Mus musculus: one gene and its partners. The protein of the gene in region 4 purifies or fractionates together with the protein of the main gene of each other region. This does not show direct contact. Links are inferred from orthologs where the notes say so. Each region holds a gene or a part of one and is shown on either strand. Other genes may lie near its edges.

Region 1 (4,232 bases), on a different chromosome or scaffold from region 4:
AAGAGAAACTCTTTTTTTTGTTTGTTTGTTTTTTTTGTTTTGTTTTGTTTTTCGAGACAGGGTTTCTCTGTATAGCCCTGGCTGTCCTGGAACTCACTTTGTAGACCAGGCTGACCTCGAACTCAGAGATTCACCTGTCTCTGCTTCCCGAGTGCTGGGATTAAAGGCGTGCGCCACCACGCCCGGATAGAAGAGAAACTCTTGAGCATGTGAGTTTTCCAGAGGGCTGTCCCCACCCCACCCCGAGCCCCAAACTCAGAGGGGGAGAGAAGAGAATAAGAGGGTGAGAGGACGAGGAGGAGGAGGAGGAGGATGACGATGACGACGACGATGACAAGGAGGAGGACGTGGAGGAGGAGGAGGAGGAGGAGGAGGAGGAGGAAGAGAGAGATCCATGTGAGTCAGGCTGGCCCCAAACTCCACTTCCTGAGTGCAGAGTTTACATGAACTGCCATAGCTTATGTGATGCTGGGGGTCACATGTATAAAAACTGAGCTATGTCCCCAGCTCCAGTTTTAATATCTTAAACTCAGTGAAACTTTGAAATCAGTCTAAATTGTCTTTATGTACTTCCATACTTTGTCAGTCAAGCACCCTAACCATGCTTTATGCATCTCTTGATACTGTGAGGATGGTCTGTCGTTATGCACATCGGTCATGGAACTGTGGCACCGCCACAACTGTGGGACACAGAACCTCAACCGTGATGCTGAATAAGGCATCACGTACCAAACGGGGAAGGGCATTTTTCCCCTCCAGTTAATTTTTAGCAGCAAATTACACTTTTCCTCTTCTGCTCTCTTGCTTTAGAATAAAAAACACAGCTCCATAGTACTGGTAAAAACACAGCTCCATAGTACTGGTAACGTTTTAGCAATGATACTATACAAAGTTACTGTTTTTTCAGACTGCAGCTCTCTGGATAGTTTTTCTACACTGGAACTTTTTTTTTGTAACTACTCTGCCCTGCTCACATCACCTCCTCTTATCTCTAGAAGGGACATGGGGGTGGCTAAAAAGCAGACAGACTACTGGAGGCAAGCTACCTGGATTCAAACCCCTCTTGGGCATTTAAGAGTTGAAATTCCTAACATCAGGTTAGCTGATCTAACTAACGGTCCACTTCTTCATCTGCCTTCTGAGAGAAACAACCCCACACCTCACCTCAGGGGTGGCAAGAATTAAATGAGTTAGCACTGGCAAACTTCTAGTACTAAGGAGATGGGTAAAGCCTAATCCGCCTCTAGCCCATCACTCTCATCTCTCTCCATTCCTCGCCACTTATGGGGTGTGGTTGTTCTGGTGATGGGGAGTTCGGGGAAGTCTCCAGGGTGGAAGGAGATGTAAGTGCTAGAAAGGAAATGGCGGCTCTTCCATGCATGCATGCATTACTCAGGAAGACAGAAAGCCACAGAGTGCCAGGTATAGTCACCATTGCTCCATTAATCACAGGATGCAGGGAGGAAAATGGGGATATTTACTTCATTAGCATTAGAAGAATTTCAGAAGCATATAAAACTACAATTTTCAAATATTTTTGCGACCAGGCTGGAACAGACAGTATTTAAAAGTCTATGGAATAGTGACAACCTCCCTTTCATTAAACGTGTTTATGTAAGGCATTGGTGGACAGGAGTTGAGGTTGTTGTAAGAAATCATCTTTTAATTTGGAGTCGGATAAGATAATTTAAGATTCTTTCTACCTCTAAAATCTTGGTAATCCTGGCATGAGTCACCAAGGTGTTACAGGCTTAGTATGAGTCACACATCGCCAACGCACAGCCAAAGACAAAATTCCTCCCTTGGTGTTTGGCACAGTACCATAGCTGTAGATGAGGAATTCTAGCCCTCGGGTTATGTATACCTCAGCTCAGAGAGACAAACTTTTTTTTTTTAATTAAGCACATCCTAGCTGATTCTAGACTTCTTTTATAACTCAAAATATAATAATGCACTAATCCCAACTGAGACCTTGCAAAAGGTGTGCATCAATCAGGATTAAGCACTCCTTCCTGTCACTCTACAGAGTTCTAGCAGACAGAGGTGGTGGGCAGGCAAATGACAGGGAGAGACAGGACAGGTGGCCGGAGTGGGTGGGAGTTGGGCGAGCCCACACATGACCAAGGGAACAGGACAAAGGCCTTGGAGAACACGCTGGAGTAAGAGGCAAACTGGAATGCCTTAGTCTGCACCCAGCGCCTGGGTCTGGCCTGCGATGCGGACAGCGACAGCGGCGGCCGACTGAGCAGCGGCCGCCAGCTTGGCTCTGGAAGTCAGAGAACCCCATAGGGGTCCTACTGACCCGCGGCTGGGCCTCACTCGGAGCCACTGGGCCAGGCGGGTCCGGCTGCCTAGGCCGAACAACGCACCTGCTGGGCTCCAGCGCTTCCAGCGCTTCACCGCGAGCCCAGGAGTAGCCGCCCGGCTCTGGGCCCCCACGCGAGTCCCGCCGTGCCGCCGTCTTGCTCGCGCAATGCGGGACAGCGCCGCCTCCCGCCCCGCCAAGCCGGACCGAGGAAAGAGCGCCCGCCGCCATCGCGGGCAGCGCACACGGGGACCAGGGGCCGCGGTACCTGAGAAACCAGGGGCAGAAGAGTCTGTTCCACCGAGCGCGTCCTGATCTCCAGTCCCGAGTCGAAGGTGAAGCCAGCCGCGTTGGAGGAGTGGACAGCTCCCGCACCGCCACCGCCCGGGACTGGAGAAGCGGCCATGGCCCTCCACCGATAGCACAGCGCGCTATCCGCACCTCTGCCTGCCCGCCAACCAGCCTCCGGGTTGCCCGCCGCCTCGCCGCACCGAGGCCCCACCCCTACCCTTGTGCCACTACTTCGGCCCCGCCTCCATGCGACCCTGGGCCCGTATCCCCGCCCCCAGGCCTGTACCACCGCGCGGGCCCCGCCTTCGAGGCCACCCAACTCTAGCTAGTTCTGCCCAGCACCCTAGCCGAGCCCCCTCTACGTCCCGCCCACTGACCCATAGTCTGGCGCGTAGCAGTCCAGGATCATCAGCTCCGCCTCTAGGGTGGCACGCCCCACCAGCTCCGCCCTAATACCTGGGCGGCCCCACCCATCCACTGCCATAGTCCCACCCCGCGGACCCGCCCTCTGGCCGCCCCTGTGCCTCTTTCCTCAAGGGTGAGTTCCAAAGCCTAATTTTATCTAGAGCAGGCCACCCGAGAGCCTCCACAAGTTTATGTGGCCTCTTACCAGAAGACAACTGTCCCCAACAAAGCTTTCCACCAAATCCATTTGCCTCAAAAGTCAATTCTGATTTCCCGTAAATATTTCTACATGTTTTTATGGTGTTGAACCTCTGCCCTGGGACTGAGACATCAATTACACTTGTAACCATCTTTCTTTCAATGGCTTCCGAGGAAAGACAGTCCCATTTCGCCTCCACTTCTATGTTCTGATTGTATCTCTTACAGAGTTGAAACATTTGATAATATATTCACATATCTTGATACTCAGCAAGAAGGCAGTGTATCTTGCAGTTACCTTTAGAATTCACCTTCAAGAGAATCAAAAACAAAAGTTTGGGCTCTGGCTAAATAATACCTTTTAAAAACTTGTAACATTGTTTCTAATATTAGCCAAGAACTAGCAGCATGTTAACTGCTCCTTGAATGAAAAGATGTGTCTGACTGAAGTCACTTAAGGCTAAGAATCCATTCTCTCAGCCCAACCATGAGCTCACACAGAATCCCTGTGGTGAGAAGAGGTGCCAAAGCGCCTTTTCCTCCAGTTTCCAGGAACAAAGCCAAGGAAGGCATTCAGAAGCCTGTGTCTTAAGAAAGATTCTACACTGACCTTAGGAAGGACCCAGCGACTGACTAAGCAGCACAATAAAGCATTTTTGAAGGACCATAGCTGCTAATGAGCACACGTGGGGGCAAAAAGGAATCTGAGACTGGCTTTCTTCATCAAGTTAGGCTGATGGATTCGGCTTGCAGTGTTGGAAGGGAAGCTGAAGGACTCAGTTTCACCTGCCCAAGCAGCATGGGCATCTCCGGTAATGGTATAAAAGAGCTCCTGAATTCAACTCATCCTCCAATTCTTTTTTTCTTGTAAAGTGTGTCTACACGTGGGCATGTGTCCGTGAGGGCAGTGCCTGAAGGACAGAGGCATCAGATCTCCTGGAGCTGAATTAAGGGGGTTACCAGCCGTCCAACATAGGTGTTAGGAATTGAACTGGCTCCTTTAGAAGAACAGTATGCACCCTGAGCTGCAGAG
Region 2 (4,096 bases), on a different chromosome or scaffold from region 4:
GGAAAAAGAAATGTCAACTAAGGAAATTTCACCATAAGATTGTCCTGTGGGCAAATCTGTGGGGCATTTTCTTGACTAAGAATTAATGTGGAAGGACCTAACTCTTGTAGGCAGTGCCCTCCCAGGGCAGTTAGTATTAGATTAAATAAGAAGGCAATTGGCATTCCTTAGCCAAGCAAGGAATGGGGAGCAAGCCAGTAAGCAGCTCTACCGCCAGGTTTCTGCCTGAGTTCCTGCGTTGACTTCTCTCAAAAACAGACTGATTGGGACATGTGAGCCGAATAAACCTTTTCCTCACCAGATCGGTTTGGACAGTTGTGTTTATCATAGCAATAGAAAGCAAAATAGGACACTTAGTTTCCCTTCACACACACACACACACACACACACACACACACACACACACACACACTTTGTTTCCCAGCGTGTGCTAAAGTGTTATAAGACAACCCTGAAAAAAAGAAGGCTTCCTGGGAAAAGCAAGTGTTTCTCCCCTGTTCTTCCCTTGCAGCTCGGAGTATAAAACAAAAGCCAAATGAAGTCAGTTCTATAACATTATTTTCTTTCTCAGGAAGTCCACCCATTGGCCTGTTGTCCTTAGCACACTGTAAAGTGGCCTCTGTGGCTCTTTTCATTTTCTAATGGGTCCCCAAACAAAGTTTATACCATGTTCAATTATAGTTTTGCTATCTTGCTCTTTCTCTGTAGCCCTAGTTATTCTGGGTAAAATGATAACCAGGTAGAAAAAACATAAGCGTGAACTTCAACCAAAATATCTTTAAAATTTGAACATAGTCTTTGGAGTTTCCTTAAACTGAAATAAAATCCAGGAAAGTTCCTTGTTTGTGCTGTATTTCCCCGGGGAAGCCATTTGCCAAGCTCTGGCTGCCTGGCTCTCTGCCTCCAGGAATGCCAATCAGAGGACATTCTTTTTCAGGCAGCCAAGTTTGGAAGTCAGTTGGTTTCTGTCCGTGAGGTGGGGGTGGGGTGATGGCAGGGGAAGCCAGCGAGTCCTCAGCTGATCTTCAGCTTGCAAAGGTTTCTGTAATAGCCTTCAATGAACGCAGTTCCTTTTACACACGAGGATACAGGTAAAGGACAGCTGAGTAAACCAGCTTTAGAAGAAATGGGCGGAAGCTCCCTGGGAGGGAGGGGCCGAGGGAGACCTTTGAAAGCCTGCCATTGGTGAGTTTACCAAAGGCATCTGCCAGTGGGACTTCAGTGGAATGTGAAACCAAATCGTTTTCAAGTTAAAGATAGACACAGTGGACGCCAGAAACTGGAAGCCGGGTTTTTAAACTCCTGTCTCTCCCTAGAATTTCAGAATTGGTTATGATCTCAGGGGTAATTAGACAATTGGCTAAATCTGTTCTCCCATGAACGTGATAGCAATCACTGTGTGCTCTAGATGAACTGGAACTAAAAAGGTTGAAGAAAGGATGCTGTACCTGGTCCAGGGTAAGTGAGAACACTGGTACTTGGAGGTGCATCTCTGGAAAGGTGGATGTTGACTTTGGCTTTGTAGTTGGTATGAATGAAAGATCGATCGGGGAGATTTCCTTGTGTCTGGATGAAGCTGCTTTTCTTTCTGGAAGTAGGTGGCCTTGGGCATTCTGAGTGGCAGAAAGAAACCCAGTACCTGTGTGAGGCTGTTTCAAGTTTGCATTTCAGAGTTGTAACTTGAAAGAAGCTTGTAGGCTTGTTCTTTGCCGTTAACCCTCAAGCACCTAAGGCTTATGGAGTTAGGAATTATGCGGGAGAAGACTGTAAAATGGAGCACAGCTTCCCTGGGATGGCACTGTGTTCAAATGTAGATGATGAAGATAAGATGTTTTAAAGGGGAGAGAGAGAGAGAGAGAGAGAGAGAGAGAGAGAGAGAGAGAGAGAGAGAGCTCTTTTCTTGTGGTACTCTAACCATTAGAACGAACCCCATCTTTGAAGAGGTGGCAGAAAAAACGCAGGCAGCCTCTATCAGAGAAGACAATGTATAAATAGCAGTTGTTTTGGGGCATTACCTCATTAATTCTAAGCAATACCTCTCCAAAAGAGCTGGTATCTGCTAAGTGAATGGGGGCGTTCTGATTATAAAGAACTCCAGAGAAGAGGAGGGAGGGAAAGTCATTAAATTTACAATCACCACGCTGTGTTTTGGCTATTTAAATGCTCCATCACAAGGAGAAAGGCAAACTTCAGTTCCTCATGTTTTGCCCATGTATAGGTTTTGTTTCTTGTTTGGTCAAGCGACCTTTCCCTCTCCTCTTAGCGACAGCTTTTCCAAACTCACACAGCATTCCTTCTGAATAAATATTGTCCATAATAGTCACCGAGTACAAGGCGAGAATTGGATATTCTCCTTTATATGGGGAAAATAAGCAGGCTGACGCTCCCCTGACAGAATGTGGGGCTGAAGAGTGGTTCCGTGTAACTAGCCTGGGTTTGCTCTGCCAAATAGACCAGACTGAAATAGATGCAAGCAATGAGTGGTTTAATATGGCTTCTATCACACAACTTTGATAATAAAAAGTGATGTAGTATGTCACTTAGTCACTCTTCTAAGCCAAAAAGGTAGGCATTGTAAGAACAGAGTTGAACTTAGAACTGCTGCGCAGCAGAGCAAGGACAAACAAAATGTGAAATTAGCAGAGTCCAGAAGTGGTCAGCACAGCCTGGTGTACCAGTTACCCCCTTAGCTTCCCCCTCCTTCAAGGTTTCTAAGAAATGATGAGGCTCAGTACCCAAGCCCTGTCTGGGAGGAAGAACCTGTCAAGAGTGTTTTAATGTTGTCCTTTGTGGATTGGAAACTTAAGTATTTTGTTAGAAATATTTATCCTTAGAAGAGTTTTTAGGCAGTTTGTTGAAATTGTAGTTAGTGTTTAGTGATCCTTAGAATTAACTCATTAAATTGCACAAATTGCAAGTTATTCTCTATTCCCTATAAGCAGACAGTAACTTAGCAAATTTTTCCTAGTCATTTCAAGAGGCTGGTAATAGTGTATGTGTGGCTGTGTCCTTAACAGCTGACTTTAAGAATGAGGCTGGCATAAATTTGTGAGTGTATGGAGCACAACGCAGTTCGTGCAGAGATATACACACACGCCTGTCATTATACACCTGGTTTGGGTACACCACGATTTACTTCTTGCTATATTGAGATTTGGCTTTTTTGGTTTTCACTATGTTAAAAGAAAAAGTTCAGAGTACAAATTTCTAACATGTAAGATTTTTTAACAACATGTCTAATACTAATGGGGGGATTAAATATGTGGCCCCCACTGTTGGATCATTGTTAAAGTTTCTAGTTCCATAATGAGGTAGAAAACTTGGATTGTCTTCCTTTAGACATGGTGAAGGTTGTAGCCTTTTAGTATGTATCTACTGATTATACCTCACATGTTATTGGATATGTCTCTGTTATTTCCCATCACATGTTCACTCGCAGTGTCGTCTCCTTAATACATGTCATAACTTCGATTTATGTTGAAAATGTATCTTGACAATCACTCATTGAACCTGGTGGCACTAACCTATAATTCCAGCATTTGGTAGTCAAAGTTAGCAGGCTCACTGCAAGTTTGGGTAGCTTGAGCTACTTATATTTCAAAATGACTAAAGGAATGGGTGGTAGAAATCCCTTGTAGGGGTAAACAGAGACCTAGTTAGGGTGATGCTTTTCTGCAGAGAAGGTGGCAGGTAGCAGACTAGAAATACCTTCAGCAAAGTGCAGGGGACTTGAGCTCTCTCTGTGACAGGAGCCCGCATGTAGGCCTAATGAGCAAAGGCTCATTCATGTTCACTCTGTCTTAGTAGAAGACCTGGTCTTTCCAGATCCCAGCATATACTTGGCCAAAAACTTTGACATTATTAATGAAGTCAGTCAGGCCACCAGAGGAAACTGTGTTCGTCAGTCATTTGCCTGAATAGTCATATTCCAAGGGGCAAAACTTTGAGCTTTAAAGTTTAAGTTATCTCTTGTCTTTCTAATTTGTAAAACTTTTATTTATTATTTTTATTGTGTATGTGCGTGAAGGATGGGGTGCGCACATCGCAGCACCTGTGTGGAAGTCAGAGGTCAGGTTTTGTGGAGTCGATTCTCTCT
Region 3 (3,561 bases), on a different chromosome or scaffold from region 4:
AGTACACTAGCTATCTTCAGACACCAGAAGACGGAATCAGATGGTTTTGAGCCACCATGTGGTTGCTGGGATTTGAATTCAGGACCTCCGGAAGAGCAGTCAGTGCTCTTAACCGCTGAGCCATCTCTCTAGCCCCCCGTTACCTCTTTTCAGAAGAGCATGAAGTGCTGAGTGAGGAACCAGCACATGGTGGACAGTGTGGTTTGGTTCTGAGATGAGTGGTTCGGTTTTTATAGCAGAAGAAAGGTAGAATTTTGTTGATCAGTGAAACATCTAGATAGCTGATACTAAGGCTTTAGGGTCACATGAAACACTACCCAAGAGGCATTTCACCATACTCTTGCTACTGTTTAAACCAATTACTCTCTACAGATGTCTAATGACTGTTCTCTTCCTGTGGAAGAGGGAAGTGAAGGTGTCCATATGCTTGTTCTTGGTTGCTCTCTTGGGGAGCTAATCAGAATAGCTTCTATGAGTCATACAGCCTTTTCCTCATTTTGCACATTATGGAACTACAGAAAATGACCTCTGATTCTATTTGCTTAAACTCTGGGTTTTTAGAGTAGTCAGGTCTACATTTTTGTCTTTTTTATTTTCCAGTGTCTCATTGTGTACCACTAGCTGACTTGGAACTTTCTATGTAGACCACGATGGCCTTGCACTCACTGCGATCCTCCTGTCCCTGCCTCTTTAGTGCTGGGATACCTGCATATGGATATATTTTTATTTTAATTCCTAGAATAGACACAGATTTTCTTCTTTTCCTCCTTTCCTTCTTCCTTCTCATCTTCTTCTACCTCGACTTGTTTTTTTGGGAAGAATTAGGACTGAAAATGGCACACATTGTCACACATTTACAATTGGTTTTGAAGTTGCACTCGCAGACTCTGGCTCCTAATGAAATGTAAGGGTGTGTTCAGGTTTCTTTCTTTAGTATGGTACTTAGGGTAATGGTTGGGAATGGCAATACCATGCCTCATTAGGTTCCTTAATTACTATCGTGAAGAAGCGGATTTTTAAATAGGTAAATGAGGAAGAGCAGATATCATAGTTTATCTTTTCTTTTTTCCTCTAGAGTTTGCAAAATGACCTTGAAGCTGAACAGGTGAAGGTAAATTCCTTAACTCACATGGTGGTGATTGTGGATGAAAACAGTGGGGAGAGTGCCACAGCTCTTCTGGAAGATCAGTTACAGGTAAGACCTTGAGAAGTAGGATGCCCTTCAGATCCACTCTCTGGTCAAGGTCCATGTATTGTTCCTCCTGGGCATCCTTGTTTGTACAGAAGGGTATAAAAAAGTAGACTCCTTTAATCATCTTTTCGTTACTGTAATGAAGGTCCTGAGGCAGGCTACTTGATAGAGAACAAAGTTTACTTAGCTCACAGTTTTGGAGGCTGGCAGTTCAGACAGCCTGACAAATGTTCTCCCTTGGCTATGTCTAATAGAACAGAAACATGTGTATGTGTGTGTTGTGTCTCTGCCTTAATTTTTTAATCCATTAGAATTTATCATGATCGGCCACCTTTGTGCCCTGATTTAGAACCCCCCTAAAACCAAACCAAACAAAACAAAACAAAACATCAGATTTCCCCACCCTAACCAGAAACAAAGCCCATCCTCAATCTGAATTTCCACCTTCTTGATACTATTTATGCAAATCTTTTTTAGTTAAATTCTTGTTTGAATTCATGGTGGGGTGGGGTGGGGTGGGGTGGGACACAAAGCATGGCACCTGTTTTTGGTTGTATCTCCCAGTTAGGCCTCCTCATTGTGTGGTTTCAGGCTTAGCTAGGCATTCCTTGTTTCATTCGAGTCCTTGCAGTGAAGGCATGAGATTGTTATTCTGCTCCCTTGTGTATAATGGTGACAACATTTAAAAGCACCAGAACTCATTCAAGTGACTCCCAGGCTTCCCCCAGAACAGTCACTTGAAGAATTGGTGAAGGCAACCATAGCCTGGAAGGTTTGAAGCATAGAAAGTAAACATGTAGATTGTGGTTGTAGCAGTGGTTGAAAAAAAAAAATACAACAACCCTCAGACACATATACCCAATTTTCAAATACATGTGAAATGTTGCATTCCCATACAAACCTTACAGTGAAGTAGGAACAGGAATTCTAGTTTTTTTTTTTTCCTCATCTCTGAGTAATTTAAGTAAGTCTACCCTATGAAAGTTAGTTTTTTTCTCATATATGTACTTAAAAGTATTTTTTGTAGATTGGTGTTTTGGAAAACTGTAGTAATTGTGTCTCCTGGCTGGGCTGACAGAGACTGCTTCTCCCTTCCCTAGAAACTGGGTGAGCGCTGGACAGCTGTATGCCGCTGGACTGAAGAACGTTGGAACAGGTTGCAAGAAATCAGTATTCTGTGGCAGGAATTATTGGAAGAGCAGGTATGAAACTCAACCACTGTCCACTGAGGACAAAACAGTGACAAGGAGCCCATCGTTTCAGTATGGCTGTGGAATGTGGCTGCCCTCTTCTCTAGTGAGAATTCTGGAACTTTGGCTTCTTTAAAAAACACAGAAATATTATAAGAATATGTTTTTTTTTTATCTTAGGTTGTTCCCCCTCCCCCAGTAGCTGATTATGATTTGCCTCGTGCTCTGGTGGGGATGTGATTTTGCCAGCTGCAGATATTTTCTGTGATTGTGTGGCCTTTGTAATCCTGTGGACTCTTCAGAGGGTATATGTCATAGTCAGGGTTTCTATTCCTGCACAGACATCATGACCAAGAAGCAAGTTGGGGAGGAAAGGGTTTATTCAGCTTACAATTCCATACTGCTGTTTATCACCAAGGAAGTCTGGACTGGAACTCAAACAGGTCAGGAAGCAGGAGCTGATGCAGAGGCCATGGAGGGATGTTCTTTACTGGCTTGCTTCTCCTGGCTTGTTCAGCCTGCTCTCTTATAGAACCCAAGACTACAAGCCCAGAGATGGTTCCACCCACAAGTGGTGGTGACACTGTGGACAAAAGTTGTTAATATCATAGTGGATAAGAAGGAGAGGGGGGTAGAGAGAGAGAATGAGAGGGGAGAGGGAGAGATCCTTAATAGGGAATAGCATATAAACAAAGAAATGTGTCTTGCAATTTAGAAGGTAATGAGTCCAATTTGGTGAGGGCTTCTTTCTGGCTCACAAAGGATCCTTTGTTACATTCTTATCAATTTGTAGAAGGAAAAAGTAGTTCTTGATCACTAATTGAGGAAATGCCTTACAGTTGGTTCTCATGGAGGCATTTCCTCAACTGAAGCTCCTTTCTCTGTGATAACTCCAGCTGTGTCGAGTTGACACAAAACTAGCCAGAACAGTATATAAATCCTGGGGCCCTGAGGGTTGTTGGGTTGTTCTTTGTTGGTGGTCAAGGTTAGTCCTGCACAAAGAAGAAACAACAAGAAGAAATTAGATATCCTGACATCGAAGGACTTGGCACCCGTAATCAGCAGGAAATAGTCTAAGGATAACGTTGACCCCTTTCTGGTCCCTGACTTTGTTCATGGATCTCTTTGCTCTCTCCCCTCTATTCTTTTCTCCCTCCTATCTAGTGTTATGGAATCGAA
Region 4 (4,226 bases):
GAAGAAAGCTCATGTCACAACACAACTGAGGCTTTCATTGCTTCTACCATCCCACCATCTGCAACAAGGAATAAACCAGGCACCAAGGACATGCACATGACATTTTCAGAGCATCCTCCCGCATCTCTATGGCCTCGCTTCCATAAGCCAAGTCAAGGAAAGGAAGAAATGATGAAGAATGAAAGGTAGTGTTTTGAAGATGTATTTGTGCCTGCACTTGTGTGTGTGTGTGCTCGCGCACATCATGTGTGTGCCTACATGAGTTTATGTGCACCATGTAAGTACAGTTGCCTGAGGAGGCCAGTTTATGTGCACCATGTAAGTACAGTTGCCTGGGGTGGTCCAGTGGCATTGTGTCTCTCCCTATTGGTCCTCCTCCCTCCCTTCTCTTTCCCTTGCGTCCCTGCTTCCTAGCACAGCCCCGTCCCCTCTCCCCTCTGTTCTTCGTGTTCAGGCTTTACCCCACTATTCTCCACTCTTCTGAGAAGTATGGGCACTACTTTGGTGGCGCTGCTAACACAGTGAATCTTACTCTCGTTTTCACATGTGGGGAACCGAGGCACAAGACGCCGGAGCCTGAATGGTGGAGGCAAGCTACTCTGCTCCCTCCCTGTTAAGCACCCTGCAGTAACCTTTCCCACCCTCCAGAACGTGACCTTTTCTGCCCAGAGGGAGTCCCGAGTACTTCGAGTAGCAACAGGAAGATTTATTCTGACTTCTGATGCAGAGTAGAGTTGCAGGGCCAAAGTTGGTATTATTCAGAGTACGGGCAAAGTCCTAGGGCTGTGACCACACCATCTGGTCTCACGCCAGTCACGCCCATCTTCAACCCGCGCCCAAGCATCTTGACCCCTTCAGGGCTGTCTCAATGCCACCATCGCACCATAGTGGGTTTTGAGATCTTGGGCTGGCCAGTTGCCCTAGAAAAAAGAGGAGGGGCATCAAACCGCATCCAGACGTTCTCAAGTGGCAGCGTTTTTTTTAAATCATCCAGCCCTGAACCCACAGATCCTGGGCTCTTGCTGCTCTCTGGCGGCAGAAGCCGGGAGCCCGGAGTCCCGGGGAATCGCACCTTGTATGCTCCGCTAGGGCAAGGGCAAGCAGAGAGTGACCGCAAGTCCAGAGAGAGGAAGGGAGGCAGCGAGGAGCGCTGGGGCAAAAGCCGGGGTGCAGGAGAGCTGAGGAAAGGAGGATAAGGGGACAGCTAGGGCAGAGGACGGTCGTGAGCACCGGCGAGGACCCCCGCAGCCGCTGGACGCGCGGAGCCCCTTCGCTGGCTCGCGCCGGCCGCCCCCTCCTCCCTCCCCGCCGCCCCTCCTCCGTCCCGCCCCCGCGCAGAGTCCCCTGCGCTGCAGAGGCCGCCGCCTGCACTGACGCTCCCGGAGGAGCCACCGCTCGCCAGGACACGCTTGGAGAGGGGAGCAGGGAGCAGGGAGCCGGCCCCGGCCCTTGTTTTCTTGTGACTCTGCAGCCACCGCCAGAGCCCGTTCCCGTTGGGACCTTCACGGCCTGGTGACCTCCGCCCCGCTCTCCCTGCAGCACCGCTCCCCTGCGGCCCCTCTGCCGCGGGAACTTGGGCAGGACCGACGGGACCGGCGCGCGGGGCTGGCTCGGGCGCTGCGGCGATGCCCGCGGGCTCCCTCCCCGCCACTTGCTCGCCCTGTGCCTGGGCTCGGGCCCCGACGGCTGCGCCGTGAGATGACTTTCCGCGACATCCTGAGCGTCACTTTCGAAGGACCCCGGGCGAGCAGTAGCACTGGGGGCTCCGGCGCGGGCGGCGGAGCTGGCACGGTTGGCCCCGAGGGTCCGGCGGTGGGCGGCGTGCCGGGTGCCACAGGCGGTAGCGCTGTGGTGGGAACCGGCAGCGGCGAGGACAACCAGAGCTCCACGGCAGAAGCGGGGGCCGCGGCAAGCGGCGAGGTGAATGGCTCGGCGGCCGTCGGGGGGCTAGTGGTGAGTGCTCAGGGCGTGGGAGTGGGTGTCTTCCTAGCCGCCTTCATCCTCACCGCTGTGGCGGGCAACCTTCTCGTCATCCTCTCCGTGGCCTGCAACCGCCACTTGCAGACGGTCACCAACTATTTCATCGTGAACCTAGCAGTGGCTGACCTGCTACTGAGTGCAGCTGTGTTGCCCTTCTCAGCCACTATGGAGGTTCTAGGCTTCTGGGCCTTCGGCCGGACCTTCTGCGACGTATGGGCCGCGGTGGACGTGCTATGCTGCACTGCCTCCATCCTTAGCCTCTGCACCATCTCTGTGGACCGGTACGTGGGTGTGCGCCACTCGCTCAAGTATCCAGCCATTATGACAGAACGCAAGGCCGCTGCCATTCTGGCTCTGCTCTGGGCGGTGGCCTTGGTGGTATCTGTGGGACCGCTACTAGGTTGGAAGGAACCAGTGCCCCCGGATGAGCGTTTCTGCGGCATCACCGAGGAGGTGGGCTATGCGATCTTCTCTTCCGTATGCTCCTTCTACCTCCCCATGGCAGTGATCGTGGTCATGTACTGCCGCGTGTATGTGGTCGCGCGCAGCACCACGCGCAGCCTCGAGGCGGGCATCAAGAGGGAGCCGGGCAAGGCCTCTGAGGTGGTTCTGAGGATCCACTGTCGCGGCGCAGCCACTAGCGCCAAAGGAAATCCAGGGACACAGAGTAGCAAGGGGCACACCTTGCGCAGCTCGCTCTCCGTAAGGCTGCTCAAGTTTTCCCGCGAGAAAAAGGCTGCCAAGACCCTAGCCATCGTCGTGGGTGTCTTCGTCCTGTGCTGGTTCCCCTTTTTCTTCGTCCTGCCTCTGGGTGAGTGATTCCCTCACTTTAGACCCTTCCCCTCTGGGCGGTCCTTACCTGGAAAGCTTAGATGACCCACAACCTAACTGTGGAAGTTTATCAACTTCCTGTTCTCTTACTAGAGAGAGAGAGAGCGCGCCCGAGGGGTTCTTGATACTAATGTGTTTTCCCTTAAACAGGCTTCTCACTCTTTCTTACCCTTTGTAGATGTTACAAACCTCGGTCTTGCTTTAGTTCCTTGGAAATCTGAGCAAACATCAATCTGTATGATGTGATCAGTGTGTGTGATCCCCATAGATACCCATCTCTGGAAATAGATTGTGGGTGAGCCCACATGCATTCACTGGCAGCAGACCCAAGCCAGCCAGCCACCTTGTAGCTCAGCAGATGCCAGAAGTGCTGTGTTCTCCATAGACATCCATTTCAGTTGGCCCCACTGGTATCTGGGAGAACCCTGTGGGCTTTCCCTTCTGAAATCTTCTCTGGAAGAGGTTAGAGGAGGGGACTTGTGGGGGTGGGAAGGACAGGATAGGAAGTCTGTCAGGTGGACAATTACTATTGTTTATAGTCATTTACAGAGTGAACTAGTTCCCTTACAAGGGCCCTGCAGTCCTGGGGCAGGTACAACTGCTCTCAAGGGATTCTTCGCACCCCCTGAGCCTCTCTGAAGGTCCTGGAGCAGGGCCCAAGGGCCAGAACCAGCTCAGAGAGGAGAAAGGGGCAGCCTGTCTCAGGCTTATGACTGCAACCTCTCCTGGTGCAACCAGGGCCTCTCCTCCCTTTCCCCCATCTGACTGCTTGAACCTGTGAGACAAAGTCAGGGGAAGAAACAATGACCTGCCTCCTGATCCACTGCAAGTCTCTCACCTACACACACACACACACACACACCAGCAGGAGCAGCAGCAGCAGCCACAGTGACTTTTGTATATCGTAACTCGGTTGTGTGACCCTTCTACAAGTCCCTGAATGTTCTCATACTACTTGGGAACAAAATCCAAAAACTGCCTTCCATAGTCTACAGAAGGTAGCCTTCAAGGTTATTATTGTCCATACCGAAATAGGTCACTATTTAGTATTTACAGTAGGACCATGGGCATGAACTGAAGGAATCCCCAACAGATGTCCTCCCCATCTGAAAGGGGCTATTCCAGGAAGGGCTGCCTCTCTCTGTCCTGCCCTGACCCTCAGTGGGTTAGTTCCAGGCCAAGCCTGTCACCAACCTCTGTTCTTCCCTTTGATTATTTCAGTCTGGACTGGCCCCAAACCTCTTACCTAATTCCAAACCTGGGGGTCTCTACTTATATGCCCCTTTGGCTTGTGTTTCACACCTTCACTGGCTTTCCAGCTTTTCCTTTCAACTGTATGGTCACTGAACCCAGAACAGCACCCAGGACGGTGCCTGGCATATGAGGACATTGTTCCTCACTGGGGCACGGGCCCT

The links.
Region 1: the proteins of Adra1d (region 4) and Ctnnal1 purify together in Homo sapiens (tandem affinity purification; 3 studies listed by IntAct, with this or other methods). This does not show direct contact. The link is inferred for Mus musculus from reciprocal best matches to the Homo sapiens genes ADRA1D and CTNNAL1.
Region 2: the proteins of Adra1d (region 4) and Dtna purify together in Homo sapiens (tandem affinity purification; 4 studies listed by BioGRID and IntAct, with this or other methods). This does not show direct contact. The link is inferred for Mus musculus from reciprocal best matches to the Homo sapiens genes ADRA1D and DTNA.
Region 3: the proteins of Adra1d (region 4) and Utrn purify together in Homo sapiens (tandem affinity purification; 4 studies listed by BioGRID and IntAct, with this or other methods). This does not show direct contact. The link is inferred for Mus musculus from reciprocal best matches to the Homo sapiens genes ADRA1D and UTRN.

What each region holds. Positions count from the first base shown.
Region 1 is NC_000070.6:56,862,404-56,866,635, forward strand, and holds the start of Ctnnal1 (alpha-catulin), read right to left. Parts: upstream 2,809-4,232; 5' UTR 2,712-2,808; coding exon 2,574-2,711; intron 1-2,573. UniProt on the Homo sapiens protein: May modulate the Rho pathway signaling by providing a scaffold for the Lbc Rho guanine nucleotide exchange factor (ARHGEF1).
Region 2 is NC_000084.6:23,414,168-23,418,263, forward strand, and holds the start of Dtna (dystrobrevin alpha), read left to right. Parts: upstream 1-1,241; 5' UTR 1,242-1,458; intron 1,459-4,096. UniProt on the Homo sapiens protein: May be involved in the formation and stability of synapses as well as being involved in the clustering of nicotinic acetylcholine receptors.
Region 3 is NC_000076.6:12,732,732-12,736,292, reverse strand, and holds part of Utrn (utrophin), read left to right. Parts: intron 1-1,075; coding exon 1,076-1,195; intron 1,196-2,292; coding exon 2,293-2,394; intron 2,395-3,561.
Region 4 is NC_000068.7:131,559,641-131,563,866, reverse strand, and holds the start of Adra1d (alpha-1D adrenergic receptor), read left to right. Parts: upstream 1-1,369; 5' UTR 1,370-1,698; coding exon 1,699-2,791; intron 2,792-4,226. UniProt on the Homo sapiens protein: This alpha-adrenergic receptor mediates its effect through the influx of extracellular calcium.